4 linked regions of the Arabidopsis thaliana genome follow. The protein of the gene in region 2 purifies or fractionates together with the protein of the main gene of each other region. This does not show direct contact. Each region holds a gene or a part of one and is shown on either strand. Other genes may lie near its edges. The genes, in order: AT4G19006, AT2G44070, AT5G19485 and AT5G45620.

What was found.
Region 1: the proteins of AT2G44070 (region 2) and AT4G19006 fractionate together in Arabidopsis thaliana (co-fractionation; one large-scale study listed by BioGRID). This does not show direct contact.
Region 3: the proteins of AT2G44070 (region 2) and AT5G19485 fractionate together in Arabidopsis thaliana (co-fractionation; one large-scale study listed by BioGRID). This does not show direct contact.
Region 4: the proteins of AT2G44070 (region 2) and AT5G45620 fractionate together in Arabidopsis thaliana (co-fractionation; one large-scale study listed by BioGRID). This does not show direct contact.

What each region holds. Positions count from the first base shown.
Region 1 is NC_003075.7:10,408,639-10,413,435, forward strand, and holds AT4G19006 (Proteasome component (PCI) domain protein), read right to left. Parts: upstream 2,830-4,797; 5' UTR 2,710-2,829; coding exon 2,560-2,709; intron 2,257-2,559; coding exon 1,810-2,256; intron 1,616-1,809; coding exon 1,535-1,615; intron 1,442-1,534; coding exon 1,245-1,441; intron 1,156-1,244; coding exon 711-1,155; 3' UTR 510-710; downstream 1-509. Other genes in the region: AT4G19010 (AMP-dependent synthetase and ligase family protein), read right to left, coding at 3,077-3,202, 3,291-3,393, 3,525-3,592, 3,670-3,815, 4,099-4,288, 4,516-4,797. UniProt on the Arabidopsis thaliana protein: Acts as a regulatory subunit of the 26S proteasome which is involved in the ATP-dependent degradation of ubiquitinated proteins.
Region 2 is NC_003071.7:18,230,362-18,234,369, forward strand, and holds AT2G44070 (NagB/RpiA/CoA transferase-like superfamily protein), read right to left. Parts: upstream 2,270-4,008; 5' UTR 2,109-2,269; coding exon 2,088-2,108; intron 1,971-2,087; coding exon 1,126-1,970; intron 1,047-1,125; exon of another isoform or gene 1,029-1,046; intron 1,019-1,028; coding exon 964-1,018; intron 817-963; coding exon 736-816; 3' UTR 504-735; downstream 1-503. Other genes in the region: AT2G44065 (Ribosomal protein L2 family), read left to right, coding at 1-7.
Region 3 is NC_003076.8:6,573,057-6,578,338, forward strand, and holds AT5G19485 (transferases/nucleotidyltransferase), read right to left. Parts: upstream 3,479-5,282; 5' UTR 3,297-3,478; coding exon 3,231-3,296; intron 3,157-3,230; coding exon 3,061-3,156; intron 2,954-3,060; coding exon 2,876-2,953; intron 2,771-2,875; coding exon 2,690-2,770; intron 2,603-2,689; coding exon 2,383-2,602; intron 2,297-2,382; coding exon 2,238-2,296; intron 2,129-2,237; coding exon 2,079-2,128; intron 2,005-2,078; coding exon 1,917-2,004; intron 1,829-1,916; coding exon 1,577-1,828; intron 1,491-1,576; coding exon 1,398-1,490; intron 1,320-1,397; coding exon 1,215-1,319; intron 1,127-1,214; coding exon 1,010-1,126; intron 917-1,009; coding exon 851-916; 3' UTR 536-850; downstream 1-535. Other genes in the region: AT5G19490 (Histone superfamily protein), read right to left, coding at 3,713-4,138, 4,211-4,268, 4,371-4,481, 4,567-4,660, 4,764-4,836, 5,185-5,217.
Region 4 is NC_003076.8:18,499,921-18,504,651, forward strand, and holds AT5G45620 (Proteasome component (PCI) domain protein), read left to right. Parts: upstream 1-1,565; 5' UTR 1,566-1,669; coding exon 1,670-1,819; intron 1,820-2,113; coding exon 2,114-2,560; intron 2,561-2,758; coding exon 2,759-2,839; intron 2,840-3,034; coding exon 3,035-3,231; intron 3,232-3,324; coding exon 3,325-3,424; coding exon of another isoform or gene 3,425-3,502; exon of another isoform or gene 3,503-3,762; coding exon 3,763-3,948; 3' UTR 3,949-4,224; downstream 4,225-4,731. UniProt on the Arabidopsis thaliana protein: Acts as a regulatory subunit of the 26S proteasome which is involved in the ATP-dependent degradation of ubiquitinated proteins.

The sequences.
Region 1 (4,797 bases), on a different chromosome or scaffold from region 2:
AAATATGCTAATTCGAATTAACGCAAAGAGATTCCCAAAATAGCTCTAACCGATTCAATTTTCGATTTTGAAGCATTATTGAGAAATCGAATCACCAAAACCCCAACATTAGAAATCTAAAACCCAGAAACAACAATCAAAATCTATTGTTCCCAGAGAAGAAAGCTATGTTTTTGTAGAAGAAATCAGATCTGGATTATGTCAATCCAACAGCATCTACCGATGATCCCTAAAATCTATTCCCCAGAAGACAAAACATTTAGAGAGCGAGCAGCTTACGAAGCAGACAGATGAGCTGGAGTCTTTGAGACTTGACTGCTCTGTTTCAAAATCTCAAAATCGGAAAATTTTGATTGAAACGAAACGATGGTGATAATTGGGGTTTAATATGTTTTGACTATTTTACCCTTACACTTTTCATTTCAGAAGTTGACAATTTGGATTCATTCCACTATTTGAGATTTATGAGTTTTTCACACGTCTAATAACAAAAGTTGGACCATTTGTTATGCAAATAGGCTTAAGCCTTAAAGGCAACACTAACGATGAAACTCAACTTAATAGGATAGATTCATGTGTCTGTGGAGAACAAAGTTCAAAAGTATAACTGTAATACCTAAAAACTTAAAAGGAAGTTGCATTTAATCCTCAGAGAATGTTACAATCTGTAGCTTAAACGAACAGTGAAGGAAAAAAGAGGAAAGAAGAGTTTAAGCTGCAACAAGATCAGGTGTCTCGGCCTCAACAGATAACAATGTGGTGTGAACCTTATCGACCCAGCTGTCTAGCTGATCCCTCAATGACTTGATCTGCGGTATTCCTAACACCCTCGGTTGCGCCCATGAGACGTAAACTGTTCCATTCACCTGATCTAGTATTCCCTCTATCAAGTGCACCTGCAATAACTCATTCTCCTCAGTTTTCACAATCAACCAATACAGAATCACACATTCAAGAAGATTTCGAGTCTGCGTCTTGCCAATCTTCTTTAGATTTTTAATGTTACTGATAGAATGAGATAGAGAGAAAGAGAGAGGAAAGAAAAAGGTACTCACCGATAAGCTCTTCATGAGAAGGTGCTCAACATCTTCGATTGAAAGTTTAGTACGCTCGGCAATGACACTCAAAGGTATGGTCCTATCTTCAGCAGGTCGGCTGTGGCAAAGATGTTATATACAAGTTAAGTACTAAGTTTGTTTTCATCTGTATATGGGTATAAGATGACTCCTACAGAGAATGAATACCTGAAAATGATCTCAATAAGGCAGAGAATGTTGATCTTCTCTAATAGTTTCTTCTCATTCTCAACCAGTGCTGGTTGAGCACTCAACGATGCATTGTGCACACGACAGAGTTCTTGGTACTGAACTAAATCTCCGTGGTTGAATGCTTGTAGAATGTGGTAAAGCCATTCCACATTTGTTCCAAGCAGACTTTTCAACTGCCATAACATATATAACATGTCAGTGTTCTTTTATCTATAATGGTGAATAAATCTGTGGTTTGCTAATTTGGAGGATGAAGGGAAACTTACAATTGGATGGGCTAACAGTTCCCCAAAGTTATAGATATTCTCCCCAAGTAGAGCTGAAAGCGACAAATCAAAAGCCAAATCCTGAAAGAAACGAAAGTATATGATATTAACATTTTGATTGGAACACAAAGCAATTTACAGAGATAAAGCATTTTTCACTGTAAGTTTCCTTTCATAGAGTGCTAATACTTATCCAAAATTGCTAAAAGACCATTTGGTAACGTAACGACTACATATATCATATATGAATGATTAGAACATTCAGAGGGACGTACCAGCTTAAATGATTCCGAGAGTGAGTCCACAGACGTATAAGCGAGGTAAAGAAGAGCATTTTTATAGAACTCAGAGAACTCTTGACGGACTTTATGGTACTGAGAAGAGACCCAAAAGAAGTTGGCATAAACTGATGGATCAATGTCAGTCATACTATCAAGCAGGCTTTTTCCATCGTCCAAGATTTTCTTGCACTCCTTCTGGTCACCTTGCTCAAGCTTGAACAAAGCTATTTGTGTTTCTATATAGCTAATTGGTTCATTTATCCTTGACTCTTTAGTAGCTTTAAGCTTCTCAATCACTCCTTCAAGATAACTAACTGCAGCTTCTTTCTCAGGATACTGTCGGGAGACTACAACAGCGAAATGCGCAAGCTTCAGAAGATTGATCCTCGTCTCAAAGTCAGTGATGAAATTGTTGTAAAGCTGTATTAAAGCATCTCCAGCCTGCAAAGATTATGAACATAAACAGGGGGAAACACGTCATTAACAAATCTGTAAACCTTGTAAAGCTGAGTTTTTGGGTATCTCTGAGCTAAAATATTCGAAAGCTTTGGTCACAGAAGTGCGATAATTCACCAATACAAAGCTTTTCAATGAATCTGAAAAATCACCTAAGAGTCGGAACGAATCCTTCAGATCTCTCTATAAACCCAAGTCTAACATGACGACTCCTATTAACTTTCTCGAGATCTATGAACCCTAATCACACAGAAGAACTACGAAACGATGAAAATTCAAGAGATTGACCTGAAAGACAGAGAGAGCGATGAACTGCTCGAGCTTAAGAGTGAGCTGATGCCAGAGCTTCTTCTGGTACAGATCTGCGAGCGAATTGTACCACTCACCAAGCTCTGGGTGCGCATTTTTCTGCGATTCAAGGTATTGTAGAGCAGCCATGGTAGATTTTCGAAGAAACAGAAGGCAAAGCTTCGATCTTGTATCGGTTTGGGAGTAAGAAATCCAGAAAAACCCAGCCTTTTAGTAAACTATATTTCTTGAGCTCAAAGACAAGTATTGGGCGATAAATGCAATAGCCAACGATTAAAAGGACTTTTATGTAAATAAAATACTAAGGCTAAAATTACATTTTGGGCTCAGAAAGAATTTTTGTTTCCGTATTGGGTTACAATGCTTTATTCACTGAGAATCAAAGAATGTGTCTGTTTATTTCTTTTGATGCTACAAAACCAATGAATTGAGTTATGAAGGCTATATTAGTGGATCTCTCTGTCTGCTACTTATTACCAAACAAATGAAGAAAGAATCATAGTCTTGAAGAAACAGAGTTTGTAAGAATTCTCTTTAGTTCCTTTCTCAATATCTTCCCAGTTGGAGATTTTGGTATAGAGTTGACCATCACCACTTTCCTCACCTTCCTGTAGGGTGCAACCTAGAACACGTAATGTATAATAATGTATTACATTAATGATCAGTGTTTTGAAATGGGAAAAGCCATTTTGAATTAGTGGGAACCTAACCTGAGAAGCTACATAGCTTATTACATCTTCTTCTGAAAGTGTTGTTTCTTGTCTCCGGACAACGAATGCTACCGGAATCTCTCCACATTCTTCATTTGGGGCACTGAAATGGAAAGTTTGGATACTTTCAGTAGAGTAACAGACTCTGTCGAATTCTCCAAAACTGGATTTGCAGTATCTTTCACTTATTAAACTAGTTTAGTAAATGATCAAGATTTGTTTTTTCGAACTTACGCTGTTACTGCAGCGTCGATAATCAAGGGATGTGAAACAAGAACAGCCTCCAAATCTGCTGGAGCGATCTGCAAAAACCATAAATGCAAAGAATTAATATTTCCTAATTTAGAGTTGGCTGAAAGAGAAACTGCTGTTCCTTTACCTGAAAGCCTTTGTACTTTATAATCTCCTTAATACGGTCAACAATAAACAAGTAACCATCTTCATCAAAATAAGCAATATCCCCAGTACGTAGCCAACTATCTTCAACTATACTCATCTGAGTTGCTTTTGGGTTATTCAAGTATCCTGACAGACAAATGAACGGTGTTCAGATTCTCTCCAAGTAAAATTAAAACTGTTCCATAAAAATATGTAGCACAAAATCAAGAACAAGATAATAAGCCTAATCTATCAACACAAGCACCAAATAAGCCCCACGAAAGTTGGAAGATCCAATCTATATTTACATTTATTAGGATGCAAGTGTTTCTCAGTGATTTGAACCATTGACAAAAGACTTTATTCATGAACTGAGAAGGAAAATCTCAACTATTTTGGTAAAGAAGTACAGTAGGAAGAATCTATCTACCTTTCATGACACCGGGACCTTGTATCCAGAGCTCTCCTCGGTTTCCTGGTGGAAGGAAAGAACCAGAGCTCCAATCTACTACCTTGGCTTGCATATTAGGAGCCAGTAGTCCCACAGAAGAATACCTACTAAGCTTTTCCGAGTTGAAGCCCCGTGTTCCAACTGCAGTTGATTCAGTCATTCCATATCCCTGCAACAAAATGTGATCCATTTTATACACACTTTCAGCTAAATGTAAAGAAAATAATAGTGTGAGTCAAAAAGTCATGGCCTCGTTAAATCAATTTTAGTTGTTTCTTTTGGGAAGAGATGTCAAATTTTTCTAAAAAATGTAGATTCTACTTCTTATTGAGTTTATGAATGAATAACATTTAATTCAGTTTTCTAAAACGACATCCAAAAGTAAAATTCAGAGACCTGAATCAAATCGACATGAGGAAGAGTCTGAAGGAAATCTTCAATGAACTTCCTACTCAAAGGAGCTGCTCCAGAAGAAACTTGCTTCAAACTTTTAAACACTTCACCACAAACTCCTTTTGCCTTCTTTGTCAATGCCATCAACATAGGTGGAACAACCGGGAAATGAGTGATCTTAAACCTTTCAATTACATTAACAACATCAGAAGCATCAAACCTCTTCATAACAACAATAGTTGATCCCAGAGACAACAATCCCATCACAAAGAGTGATAACCCGTA
Region 2 (4,008 bases):
AATGTGATATGGGTGAACAAGTTTCGATTTTCTTCAAACGTTTCTTTCTTTTAAAAAGCCTCCAATGTTATTTGGTTACGTTATTGAATCTGTTTTTTGAGAGTTTTTTAGGCTTCATGAAACTAGAAGATCTTTGATCAGTTGAGAATAAATATGGTTACGTGTTTACTTTTATTAAAAAAAAAAAATCGAATTCAAACGTTTTCATCATAACAACGTTTAAAACAATGCGAATTTCTTTTTTTTATATATATATTAAAATCGTCGAAATCAAATTTGAGAGATTTATATGCTTATACTAGAGAAAAGGGTCTAAAAAGAAAAGAAAAGGAAACAAGAGAAAGAGTCAAAAGGTTGGAACAATATGATGCATTGAATCAATCCCCACGATAAAAAAAAAACATTCAGCAAAAAAAAACATTCAGCACAAATGTCTTCTTTGACTAATTAATTACCCCAAAACATTAATCAAAAAAGTGAAGAAATCAATTTGACATCTTCCTTGGTCTAAACAAACAACCAACTATTGAAAAAGTTCCTTATAGTGGTTTTTGAAAATTGAAACAAAAAACGAGAATGGTATTCTATAGGGAAAATAGTGAAAGAAGCCCACAGAATTGGAATAAGGAATGAGAATTAGATGTAACAAACAACAGAACAGCAACCATGCCTTATAATCTTGGGTCCTACTCCTCCATATCATTTCATTTTTATTCTTACTTCTATTTTGAGCATCTAAATAACAATCTTTGAGCTTTGAAGCAAGTGTTCTTTCTGATATTCTCTTACGATGACAGGCACACTTGTGGGAGGTACCTGAAATATAAAACATGGTCAGTGTTCAATGGTTTGAGATTCTGAATGAGTGGAGAAACTGTGTTGCATGAGTTATGTTTAGGGATGAGATCACTTGATCACCATAATGCTATGTTTTTAATTAAGAGCCGATATGATTAATCTTACCATGCCATAATCTGTGATTATCATGGAAATGTAATCTGAAGGTGTAGCATCATACCTATCATTAGAAAAAAAATCACAAACGGGTTTAGTGGCAGGCAGAGAAGAATAGTATTAACAGAACATATATAGTTTCACTTGTACGATTAACACAAGCTAGCTTACATCAAGTTCAGAAACTTCAGCTTTGCATTGTTGGTCAAGCCATTTAAGTAGTTTATGTCTTCTCTTCCATGAACTTTTGAAATAGCATTTGGATCACCGAGCTCATTGGAGCATATTGAATAATCCAACTGCACCTTCTCATGGAACTTATAGGCTTCGCAACAAACAAGCACAGGAACACGGAAAGCATTAGCCACCATTGCAACACAAGCAGTGCCAACCCTTGAGTAAACTGTTCCGTTAGAAAAAACTGATGAGGCGCCCAAAAACACTTTGGTGACTTGGTGCATGATATATGATATGGCAGTTATATGAGTGTATGTACAGTTAATGCCTCGTTTGATCAATCTACGAAGCAGTAGCTTCCCTTGAAGCTTTGGTCGAGAATCCACCACAAAGACACGAAACTTTTTCCCGAGTTCATGTGCATGCACTAATATCATCTCAATGACAGTGGAAGATCCGTAGGTCAGAAGGACATCACCGTCTCTTATTTTAGTGACAGCATGTTCGACTATCACTGTATCTGCACCTATGATTTTCTCGTTAATGAAACGTTCAATATCTGAGTGAAGAGAAGCTTTTGCTTCAGATTCAGAAAGTGTTATAGGCAGCTTTGCAATCCTGTTTTTCACAAATCGGATTGCGTTTCCCATGCTAATCGAAAGCGGACGGCATTCTATGAGGAAAGAGACGTAGCTACTTATTTGAGCAGTCATGTCTCTATTAAGGGTATTCTCAGGCGGCGTCGAGTAATCTTTAACAACCTCTTGGAATGCTTGGAGCATCGCAATACATCTGGCATTGCCACCAGAAATATCCCAAGAAAGATAATGAAGACCAACCTGATAACCACAACAACGTCATACTCATTCACTAGACAAGTAACATTCATCTTAATGAGCAACCACTTATTAAAACAAAGAGATTATATAATTGTATATTACAAGCACTAACCATACCTTGTACACAGCAGAATGCATAGGGTCAAGAAGTTACGATTTTCTCAAATGCTTCTTCCTTTAAAAAGCCTCAAGGTTTGGTGACGTTATTGAATCTGTTTTTGAGAGTTTTAGGCTTCGTGAAATTGGAGGATCTTTGATCAGTTAAGAATAAATATGGTTAGGTGTTTCCTTTATTTAAATATCATCGATCGAAATCAAACGTTTTCGTCATGACCACGTTTTAAACAATGCGTTTTTTCCTTTTTTTATATACTAAAACTGTCCTAATCAAATTTGAGAGATTTTTATATATATGCTTATGTATTACTAGAGTAGGGCTCAAGTAAAAATTCGAGGAAAGGGTCTAAAAAGTATAATTCAGAAAACGAATAAAAAAGGAAACACGAGAAAGAGTCAAAAGGTTGGAACAATGCATTGAATCAATCCCCACGATAAAAAAAAAAAAAAAAAAGAAACATTCAACACGAATGTCTTCTTTGACTATTATCTATTAACCCAAAACTTTTAGTTATATATACATTTTATCTTTTTGATGAAACTTTGAATGCTGTAGGCTGTAGCAGAGAACAATATATTCTTCAGCAATATTAGTTTTAAGACGTTCACTGATAGATTAGAGTTAGAAATTAGTCGGTATTAAACCAAAAAAAAACACACACTAGTATAATACACTTGACCGCATAATTTTGCTTCCACTTGAAAAGTGAAGAAATCTATTTGACATCTTCCTTGGTCTAAACAAACAAGCAACTATTGAAAAAGTTCCTTATAGTGGTTTTTGAAAATTGAAAAAAAAAAACAAGAATGGTATTCTATAGGGAAATAGTGAAAGAAGCACATAGAATTGGAATTAAGATTGAGAATGAGATGTAACAAACAACAGAGCAGCCAGCCAGCCACCATCCTTGCAAACTTGGGTCCTACTCCTCCATATCAATTCCTCATTTCATCTTTATTCTTACTCTTCTCTTTAATCTTCTAATTAACAATTTTTGAACTTTTCATGTTTTGGTACATAACCAACGAAAAAAGAAACAAGTGACGTACAAAACACAAGAAGAAAATGAAATTATCTTAATTGATTCTGACCTAAAGAATTTAACATTTTCTCTTTCAAATCTTTTGTAGCAAGGGAGGTGAAACGAAAACGAATCATTAAGATACGTGCAATGAATCCAATAACCTCTATGACTAGCAGATGCATGAATTTTATTTTTGTGTTTCTGTTATGCATCTTTTTAGTTGCTTTTTAAGTCTGGTCATATCTTCGCTCAGACTTCACTGATGCAAAGCTGGATACAAAATCGACAAAAGTATATGTCCCCATATATTCCTATCTTTATACTGAAGAAAATATATACTTTAGCTTTATCTATCGCACTACTTTAGTCTTTAGAGTTGATTTATCAATTAGTTCCTAAATCAACTAATGCACATGATTTAATGTAATTAATTGTCTCTTAATTGTACGGATTAGGTGATGAAGATCCACCGTCCACCATGGCTGTAGTACCTAATTAATACCGTGTAAACTTTAAACCACGGGTATTACTTATGATTGTTATTAGAAAATAACATTAGCTTACCTCAAAAAAAATGAGGAATTTGTTTTTGATTTCTAGCAAAAAAAAAATGAAACCAAAAATGATTAGACGACTCTTTTGTTTGTAGACACAATAAATAATATAGAATTTTTGTAAGAAATTAATAGTTTAGAACAATATGCGTGTATTCAAAAAGAATATAATTAAGAATATTTGAAATGATTAAATACCAATATTATTATATTAGTTTATATTTTTAAATCAAATTACTCAATTACAAAAATAATACATTAGAAAATGATTAATTATATTTTTCTAAAGTGTTATAAAGACACCATTTCCTAACGGTATTGATTTTAGATAATAGAAAACAA
Region 3 (5,282 bases), on a different chromosome or scaffold from region 2:
ACGCACGTTTCTCATATGGGGCTGCGTCTGTCATAACCAACGGTACTGTACATGATGAATATGATTGAGTCAACAAAGCTATGGTTGTTTTAAACATGAAGAAATAATTATTGTCTAAGGCTTATAAGAAGATAACCTGGAACTCTAGCGACCGAGAGTGCACTAACTTTATTTTGGAGTCTCAAATAATTAGAAATGTTTCTATATGGTGTAGATTTGTCTCAACATAACATAAAATGATTTGGATTTGGTTTTGCAGGTTTAATCTCTAAATAAAAATTGCATTGTGGGAGAAGTTAGGAGGGGTTAAGCAACGAAAAGTTCGCCAAGAAGAATCACAACTTGTACATTTTGTTACACTTTAAACAAGCTATGAAGTTTATCTATTCTCGTGACTATTTAAACAGAAAGGTTTCATACATTCGAAATCATTTACTCTGAAATTTATCGAATCTGAAGGCATGTGACTTTTTGGGTGTATTCGTCTCTATGGAAATACCAAAAACAAAATTTAGATCTTTCAGGAAAGTGTTTTATCTCGAACAAAAGAGTAAATAATGAGAAGAACAAAAAAAGACATATGTAATATAACCAACGGAACAGAGAGAAGGGTCAGTGGCTGACAAAGTGTTTCAAGACTTCATGTATATGTAATGAATAGCAAAAGATCAAACTCTATCAGTAAAAGATACTAACGGAAAATCTCAAACTCTTAATCAACAAAACCCTTAGTGGGAAACTTTCCAATCCTTCACACTCTTCTCTCCTACCAAACGAATGACTAAGTAATGCTGCTTTTCATTTTAAAAAAGCGTTCCAAGATGTGACCTCATTTGCTTATCCTTCCTTTTCATTTTCTAGCAAAGGTCTCTCCTTTGTGCTCACTCCCGGCACAAACAACATACCCTGCTTCCACCTATAAAACCAATTGATGTTTTGATTATGGAATCTGTAAAAGCATTGATACGTAGGGGACACTGTATTATGAAAACTGAAGGGGGTAACGTACTTGGCAGTCTCTTAGAGTAACACGCTCTTGAAGCTGTGCGTTGCTGCAAATGACTGAGCCTTGTATTGAACATCCGTCTCCAATTGTGGCATGGTCCATCACAACTGAATTAACAATCTGCACCCACATATACAAGCAGTTGAGTGTCTTTTCGAGATGTACACCACCTTTCTTTGGCTGGCTTGAGTAAAAAGCTAATTATTACCTTCACATTGGAGCCTATCCGGCAATGTCTCCCAATTACAGATCTTTTGACACTGCATTTATCACCGACTTGAGAGCCTTCTCCAAGCATACAATGAGGTCCAACCTGCAACCCAAAAATTGTTATTCACGATCACAACTCACAGAACAAATGCTCAATATCTACACATGTAGAGTTACGTACTGTGGTTTTCGATCCAAGCTCAGCTGATGGGTGGACAATGTTGTGATGAGCAGAAAAGGAGTATCCAGATAGGTGGTTTGATTCACCAATAACCTGCACAAGTTTGAACAATTGCGGAGCTTCATAAGTCAACTGAGAAAAAAATACTGGAGAAGGAATCCCATGTGTAAACAACTTACATCTCTGTTTACGTCCATGAAGGCTTGAATGCTATTCAAGCGGACGAAATACTTACTTTCATCCGCTATATAAACACAGCATTTATGGGTTTTCCGGGTACCCAGACCTGATTCATAGACTTGATGAAAGCTTGGCATGGATGCGTTGGAGAGAATTTGAGACAAGACCACCTCGTTGTTCTGCATATTATTTTTTCCATTTCCATTCCCATTTTCTTCTACATTACTTTGGTCAGAGAAGACATCTGATCTCTGATACTCAAGGGGAAACCGCACAAATAAGGAATCAAAATGGTAATAAAAAAAAAATGGTCATTTGCAAGGACCGTATCCGACTAACCAGCTGTGTACGAACAAGATACGGTAGTACATCCTGTTTTAGGCTCCTAAAAGCAGGTTTTTGATCCAAAACTTCCTGCAGAACTGCTCTGTAAGACAAAAGAACATATTGAGTATCGACAGATAAAACTACTTTGATAGCAGGAAAGCAGATCTGACCAACCTCTTGAAGGCATATATATGAGAATCCATCAGATCTGATCGAATTTCCATCTAAATCGAAAATGACAAGATAATTAGAAACTGTACTAAGAATTTGTAATATATGAATCATAAAAAGATGCATTTGTAGGTAATTTCAAAAACTTAATAAGAACATTACCTTGCCAGCCGCACAGAGAATGCTCTTTTTTACTCGGGTATCTTTCTTAATCTCAGTACCTAACACAATTTCAGGAGGTAAACCAACAACAAGTTCAAGCATTTTGTTACCTCTAAGAAACATAAAGAAAAATTAAAAGTAGGACCTTTGGCTATGTATAACAAGAACTGTTTCAAGGAATCAAGCCCTATGATATCATCGCAAGCAGGTTTTTTGGTTTTATCTTTCCCACCAGAACCTCCTGATTCTGATGGCCCACTGACAGGTTGAGCACAAAGCATAACAGTCACTGCTGCATCATGCCTTCTATGAGTGGCGGCAACAGCACCAGGAGGAATATCAGAAACAATGTCTCCACTTACGATCTACGTCAAAGCAAATTACCAGTTAACTAGAAGCTCAAAAAGTTGCACAAAGCAAAAGCTACGAGACGTCTTTATTGAAAAGCTAACCAAAATGTCTTTGGCAGTTAAGTGGTGTGCAATTGCCCTGAGTGCCCCAGCAGTTCCAACATTCTCAGCAACAGCAGCAACCTAAAGTAAAATATCCAGCAGAACATTAATAACGAATATGACACTAGTTTCTTTCAATCATGCATAGAGTTTTACAGAATTCAGATGCCATAGATGAGTAAATACCTCAACATGTAAACGATCAACACAAGCAGAAGAAATCCATCCACCAACTTTCAAAGCAGCATCTTCCCCTTCAACAACCTGTTCCACCAATGCGAAACGAAAAAATCTGAGCTCTATTGAAAACATTCAACCTAGAAACTCGCAAAAGGAAATCAGTAATTGTATTGAAAAGATAAAAGGCGTACGACGATCAGATCCTTGAGATTACTACTCTCGAGAAGATCCAGAACGTAAGACAACACCGGACGATTCGCTACGGGAAGCAACGCCTTAGGAACTTCCTGAACAACAACAACAAATTAGCAATTCGTCGAAACTGTTATGCTGATGATGAGAGTGAAAGAGAGAGACGGACCTTGGCGACTAAGGGAACAAGATAACTAGAGAATCCGCCGGCTAGAATCACGACCTGGAAATCCATTGTCGCAGCTGAATTGACGAGAGAAGACGAAGAAGAGAGGTTTCTGCTTTCTGGGGTTTTGATTTTGAGAAACGGTAGACGAAGACGATATCAATTTAACCCGCTTGTTTCTTTCTTTTGGATCCGACGGGTCGTTCCATTAATCTTGGGTTATCTATCTCACTTAAATATTTTAATTAAAATTAAACATTAACAAAGATTAAACCATACTTTATGTATATGATTTTATAGTTTGTGTAAAGCTTGCTATCAAATTAGAAGAGATGAATGAAAAAAACGAAATTACATTAAAGAGAATGAGAGCAATCTCCTACATACACACTGCTTCTATAATATATAAGTGTGTCAATTCCTAAGTTGTTGTTTTCTTTCTCCTACCTTTAGTTTTAAGTCATTTCACCTAAACTGAAACTCTTTCACTCTTGGTCTATGCTTTCTTCATCATAATCTTCCTCGTCACTAGCACTAGCCTGTTGTTGATCATCAGGATCTATTTTCATTTCGTTAATCTCCAACGGGTAATCTGGACTTCTCTCTAGCTGTGTTTCCAGCCATGTAGCATTGTCTCCATTCTCATCTAATTCAACATTAAGATCGAAGTTCCTTACTTTTACCTCTGAGTTACTACTATGATGATTGTTGTGTGATGCAACTTTCTTCCAAGATGTATCGTCGTGAGAAAGGCTCCCGTTTTCGGGAGACGGGGTCCTGCTGCTTTCGGGAGAACCGTCTTCTAAATCTTCTTCAAATTTTAGAGACAGCCCACTTCCTGTTCTTCCACTACTTCGTCCGCGGCCTCTACCTCGCCTTCCTCTGCCACAGCTAGTATGTTTGACCTCATGCTGTAACAAGGCGAAACATATGCGTTAAGTAATATACAATTGTCTATTGGCAAAATAAGTCTGGCTAGTTACCATTTGAGTGGTCTTTATCATATCTTCATCGTTGCAACTACTTCCATCAACAACTTTCCTGAAAAGTCGAACAAACAAGTTGTTAGACACGATACCGATATCAAAATTAGGTAGATTGATTGCTGACATAGAATAGAACTATAGAAGAAGCGGGCCTAACCTTCTTTTGGTAGCTGATTGGTCTTCAGTGTCTGAGCCACCCAAATCAGGAACTTTAGCGACAGTGTCTCTTAGAAAATCAAAGACATTAGTCGCTTGCACACACTGCTTCCTGGAAAAAGAATAGAAAAGTATTGAAGAAGCAAGAAAACAATTGGTTTATATAAGCAAAATCCAAAGATGAGATTCACACTTACAAATGAAAGGCGTTGACAGTTTTAGCACCTCGGCTTAGAGTTACATCATACGTGTGATTACACAAGTCTTGTAAAAACAGCTCCAAAGCTTTAGCTGAAAAGTTAAATTCAAAACCAGAACAGATCAACTACATGTGACACAAGCTAACATATGAACAACGTTTGAGTAAGAAAATCAAAAACATCACATCACTTACAAACAAGAAGAGGGACTGCCATTGCTATTTTGCCAACTTCCTCATCAGTTTGCATAATCTTCTTAATCCTTGTCTGAAACAAATTTTGAACATATCAACACATACAAAATCAGACTCAGACACTAAGAAATTTCTTATGTAGATATCAACATCTTTGATTAGCCCTAAACAAGATATCTCTGCAGTTTATTTATATCTAGCCATGAACAAAAGAGCCCTCCAAGTCCAAAGATACATTCACAAAGATAAATTTAAAAACCTAATGAAGACAAGGACCATGGAACCCTGAAGAAGTAAACCTGAAATCATAGCAAAAGTTGAACCTAACTACTCTCACAACTCACAAAACAGAGTTCATGGTTATCTCCATAAGAAGAAGAACATAACAAACTATAAAACAGTGAAAAGTAATGTTTCATACCGCTGGAAAACGTGTCTGGAGCTTCTTCTTCATGCTATTGTTTTACAGAGGAATAGCAGCTTCCAAAGTCAAGGGGAAGAAGATAAAAACCCTAATTT
Region 4 (4,731 bases), on a different chromosome or scaffold from region 2:
CATGTAAATATTAAACAAGACTGTAAACTATATAACAATATCAGATATTCAAATTTTTCATTTAACATGCTTTCAAAATAAATTTTAAATAGCAAACATAACCGTTGTTGTTATCACCGGTCATCAAGTTGTTGTTATCACCGGTTATCAAAATGTTATCTAATTAATTCCAAAACATAACCTAATAGATTAAATTGTCATTGATCAAAACATAACATAAAAGAAAAATGAGCAAATAAACATCTTAACATGAAAACATAAGGTAACAACAATATACAAACTATTTATGATATCTATATTTACGGATCCATCGTAAATAATCATCTTTCGCTTTAAAGTTTTTGATGGAGCAGTCGGTAAAACTTAGGATCCAAAAAACTTTTTGTACTATTACTATTATTTATGGTTAAAATTCTCTTTTTCTTATTAACTTGATTTCTTTATGTGTTTTATATTATTTTTATAAATAATTGAAAATCATTTTTAAAATTTGCAATATTTTATTAATATTGTAAAATACCGTCATAATAAAAATTATTATGGTAAACCATAAATAAGATTATTTAGTAATCAAATGACATTGATCTAATATTTATATTTTTCTTTTCTGAAAAAAACTTTCTGGTTCGTTTCTGTTCCGGTTTTCAAAACTCTGTCCGGTCATGTGGAATGCTAAATTACAAATCCACCTTATTATAATTTAAATTACATAAATACCCCTTAAAACTCACATATTTATACTTTGGTCCCGGTAGTTCTCTTTTCTTTTTAAATTAAAGGATTATCTGCTTAGCAAAAAAGAAGAAGAGAAAAGGCAATGTTTTGAAACCCGACCCGGACGATGAACCGGACTACCTTCTGGGTCACCGGGTCACCGGGTCAACCGGGTTGGACCACGGGTTAATTAGTTAAAATTTATTTAATAAATTTAATATTAATAGAAAATTTAGAGTATTTTATAATAAAAAAATTTGTAGTATTTATAAATATAAAACAAAAATAATCATATCATATTTAATCAAATATAAAATTATATTATATTTAACAAAATATAAAATCATTTACACCCAAATATATATATATATATATAGAAAAAATCAAACAATAATAATAAAGTGGTTAAAAATTTGAAATCCAATAAATGTCTAACACCGTAACAAATATATTAGGAGATCATCAATGACATAAATAAATTAATAAAACATCGTGAATTAAAACAACTAATCTCGGTTGTCTCTCTCACCATTCGATTCAATTTTAAGGCGGTATTGTAAAGTCTTCAACAAAATCTAAAACATCAAATGAATTTAAGAACTGAAAAAACTTCTAAAAATAATTGAATAAAGTCTAAAATCCCATATTTTATTGTAAAATCAAGAGAACTTTTTAAAACCCACACCCGGCCGGTTCAACCGGTTCACCGGGTCACGGGTTAATTGCGAGTTTTTGTGGGTTTTTTCGGTTTTGAACTTGTTGGGTTTTAGCACTAAACCCAAACCGGAAAAGTGTTCGGGTTACGGGTTAACCGGTCGGACCGGACGGTTCGGGTCGGGCGTGAAAACACTGAGAAAAGGGTTTTTTAGGATTCTTTAAACGCAGAGCTGAGCTGAGTTACATAAGATCGAGAGAATTCGCAAACTCGTTTCTTCATTCGTCTTCGTCTTTCGCCATGGCTGCTCTACAATACTTGGAATCTCTGAAAAATACGCATCCAGAGCTCGGCGAATGGTACAATTCCCTTGCAGATCTGTATCAGAAAAAGCTCTGGCATCAACTCACCCTTAAGCTCGAACAGTTCATCGCTCTCGCTGTCTTTCAGGTACTTTTGCTTCTCCTCCGTAATACTAATTGGTTTCAATATCTATCTAGGTTTAGTAGTGGTCCTTGTGGATTTTAGGGTTCATAGATCTCGACAAATATCGTAGAATCTGTGTTTTTACTTCCGAATAACACGAGTTAGAGATCCGTTTGGAAGATGATAGGGTTTTCTCGGATTAAGTTCTTCGAAGAAAGTTAGGTTTTAGGGTTTATAGATCAATTTTGATTGCTTCCAAGTTTTTGTGTCTGATCTTAACCTGTGTCATTGTTATAATATAATTTTTTTTCATTTCAGGCTGGTGATGCTTTGATTCAGTTCTATCACAATTTCATCACTGACTTTGAGACGAAGATCAATCTTCTGAAGCTTGCGCATTTTGCTGTGGTGGTCTCTCGACAGTACTCTGAGAAAGAAGCTGCAGTTAGCTATCTTGAAAGCGTGATTGAGAAACTTAGAGCTACTAAAGAGCCTAGGATTACTGAACCAATCATTTATATTGAAACACAAAAAGCTTTATTCAAGCTTGAGCAAGGTGATCAGAAGGAGTGCAAAAAAATCTTGGACGATGGAAAGAGCTCTCTTGATAGTATGACTGACATTGATCCATCAGTCTATGCCAACTTCTATTGGGTGTCTTCTCAGTACCATAAGTGCCGTCAAGAATTTTCTGATTTCTACAAAAGTGCTCTGCTTTATCTTGCATACACGTCTGTGGAGGACCTTTCAGAATCGTTTAAGCTGGTATGCCCCTGTAATATTATGTACCTTGTTCTTATATTTTGTTCTTATGTTAAGTTTCCTGTTAGCGATAGTGGATAAGAGTATTCAGAAATTTGATGAAATTTAGAGGAAACTGAAGAAAAAAGTTGCGTACTAGTTAGCTTCCCTAGAGTCACCGATCAAATTTTGCTAATGTCAGATCATATCTGTGTCTTTCAGGATTTGGCTTTCGATTTGTCACTATCAGCTCTACTTGGGGAGAACATCTATAACTTTGGGGAACTGTTAGCCCATCCCATTGTAAGTTTTCCTTCATCCTCGACATAAACTACTGTTATATTTTCTTGTGTAGATAAAAGGCTTCTTGTTGATCTTTAATTGCTTGGATTTACGATAGATACTGTTTGTGAGTTGAGACGGCTTCTAACTCTCATGTTATAGTTTTGCTTAGAATTGTAGATGGTTCTCTTACATGTAGCATTTCTCTGATGACAGTTGAAAAGTCTCCTTGGAACAAATGTGGAATGGCTCTACCACATTCTACAGGCATTCAACCATGGTGATTTAGTTCAGTATCAAGAACTATGCCGTGTGCACAACGCATCCTTGATTGCTCAACCAGCACTTGTTGAGAACGAGAAGAAGCTTTTGGAAAAGATCAACATTCTCTGCCTTATCGAGATCATCTTCAGGTAAACTTTTCTCTAGGCAATTGTACCTCACGCCGTTTCAATCAAAGAAATAAAATCATGTGCTAATACATTTGATTTTAAACTCTACATCAGCCGACCCGCTGAAGATAGAACCATTCCTTTGAGCATCATCGCTGAGCGTACTAAACTTTCCATTGAAGATGTTGAGCACCTTCTCATGAAGAGCCTTTCTGTAAGTATTAGTATCTCCTTGCATTTTTCTCTCTTGTGTTCTTTTAGTACCCAAAAAACTCTGCAGCTTCCGGGTTAAAATCTGTTGTGGTGACCAAGGAAAGAGTTTGTCTGAGTGACCAACATAATGATACTGAACTACCTGTCATCTGATTAAGAACAACATAGTAAACATCACCATACGCATTGTATCTCTAGGTTTATGTATTTGCAGTTGTCGTCTTATTGCGTAATTTTGTTATAGAACTCAAATGATCTTGACTGGTTTTGTTCCTGACTTAGACATAGAATGATTGTGTATGCTTCTGTAGAATCTAAAGTGGAAAATGAATGATACAGGTGCATTTGATCGAGGGCATCATAGACCAAGTGAACGGAACAATTTATGTCTCATGGGCGCAACCGAGAGTACTAGGGATTCCACAGATCAAGGCTTTGAGGGATCAATTAGACAGTTGGGTTGACAAAGTTCACACCACTTTACTATCTGTTGAAGCCGAGACACCAGATCTTGTTGCAGCATAAGAGAAAAGAAAACCTTCTTCCTCCTTTTGAAGCTACTGAATGTAAAACACCATCTTCTCTGGGATTAGATTCAAGTTTTTTATTTCAGTCGTAGAAGAAATTACAATTGCTTTTTAATCTTTTGACTTCCATTTCAAGATGTCCGAAATTTCAGTTCTACATTTAGACTATTTTCATACATTTTTTCTTAAAACATGTCCTTGACAATCATTCATTATTCACATAACCATAACAAGTCAATCAGTTTATAGAAAAAGTCATCTGATAGGATCTAAACGTGGACTCACTCACTCTGAATAGTTGATTTGAGCCTAAAATTTGGGGATTCTCGCGGCTTCTGGCACTGGTCTCCGATTACGTCACTTCCCGATGATTTCATCTTGGACTCATAGCGCGTATACCAAGATTCAATTCCCAACAATCTCACTCCTTTCAAGGCGTTTCCGATCATTGTTACGTTGCACAGAACATTGTCTCTATGCACTCCTCATAACCCTGAAACACGTCACTACCGTTGGTATATTCTTTCTCCGACGCAATGGCTTTATCCTTATCGCTTCTCTTCCTCCTATGCCTGCTCATGGAAGCTATATTGCTTTAGGTTCAAAAGATTTACGTTTTTAGATGGCGTTTATGATTCCGGTGTGACTTCGAGAGTGTTAACCACTGTGGAGATGTGAATTCTAAGAAGTGAGAGTATATATGCGTGTGTCGTTGATGATGTATTGTACTACTAAATTTGTGCTCTAAACCATAACAGCTAGACATAATTCTAAATTTCAT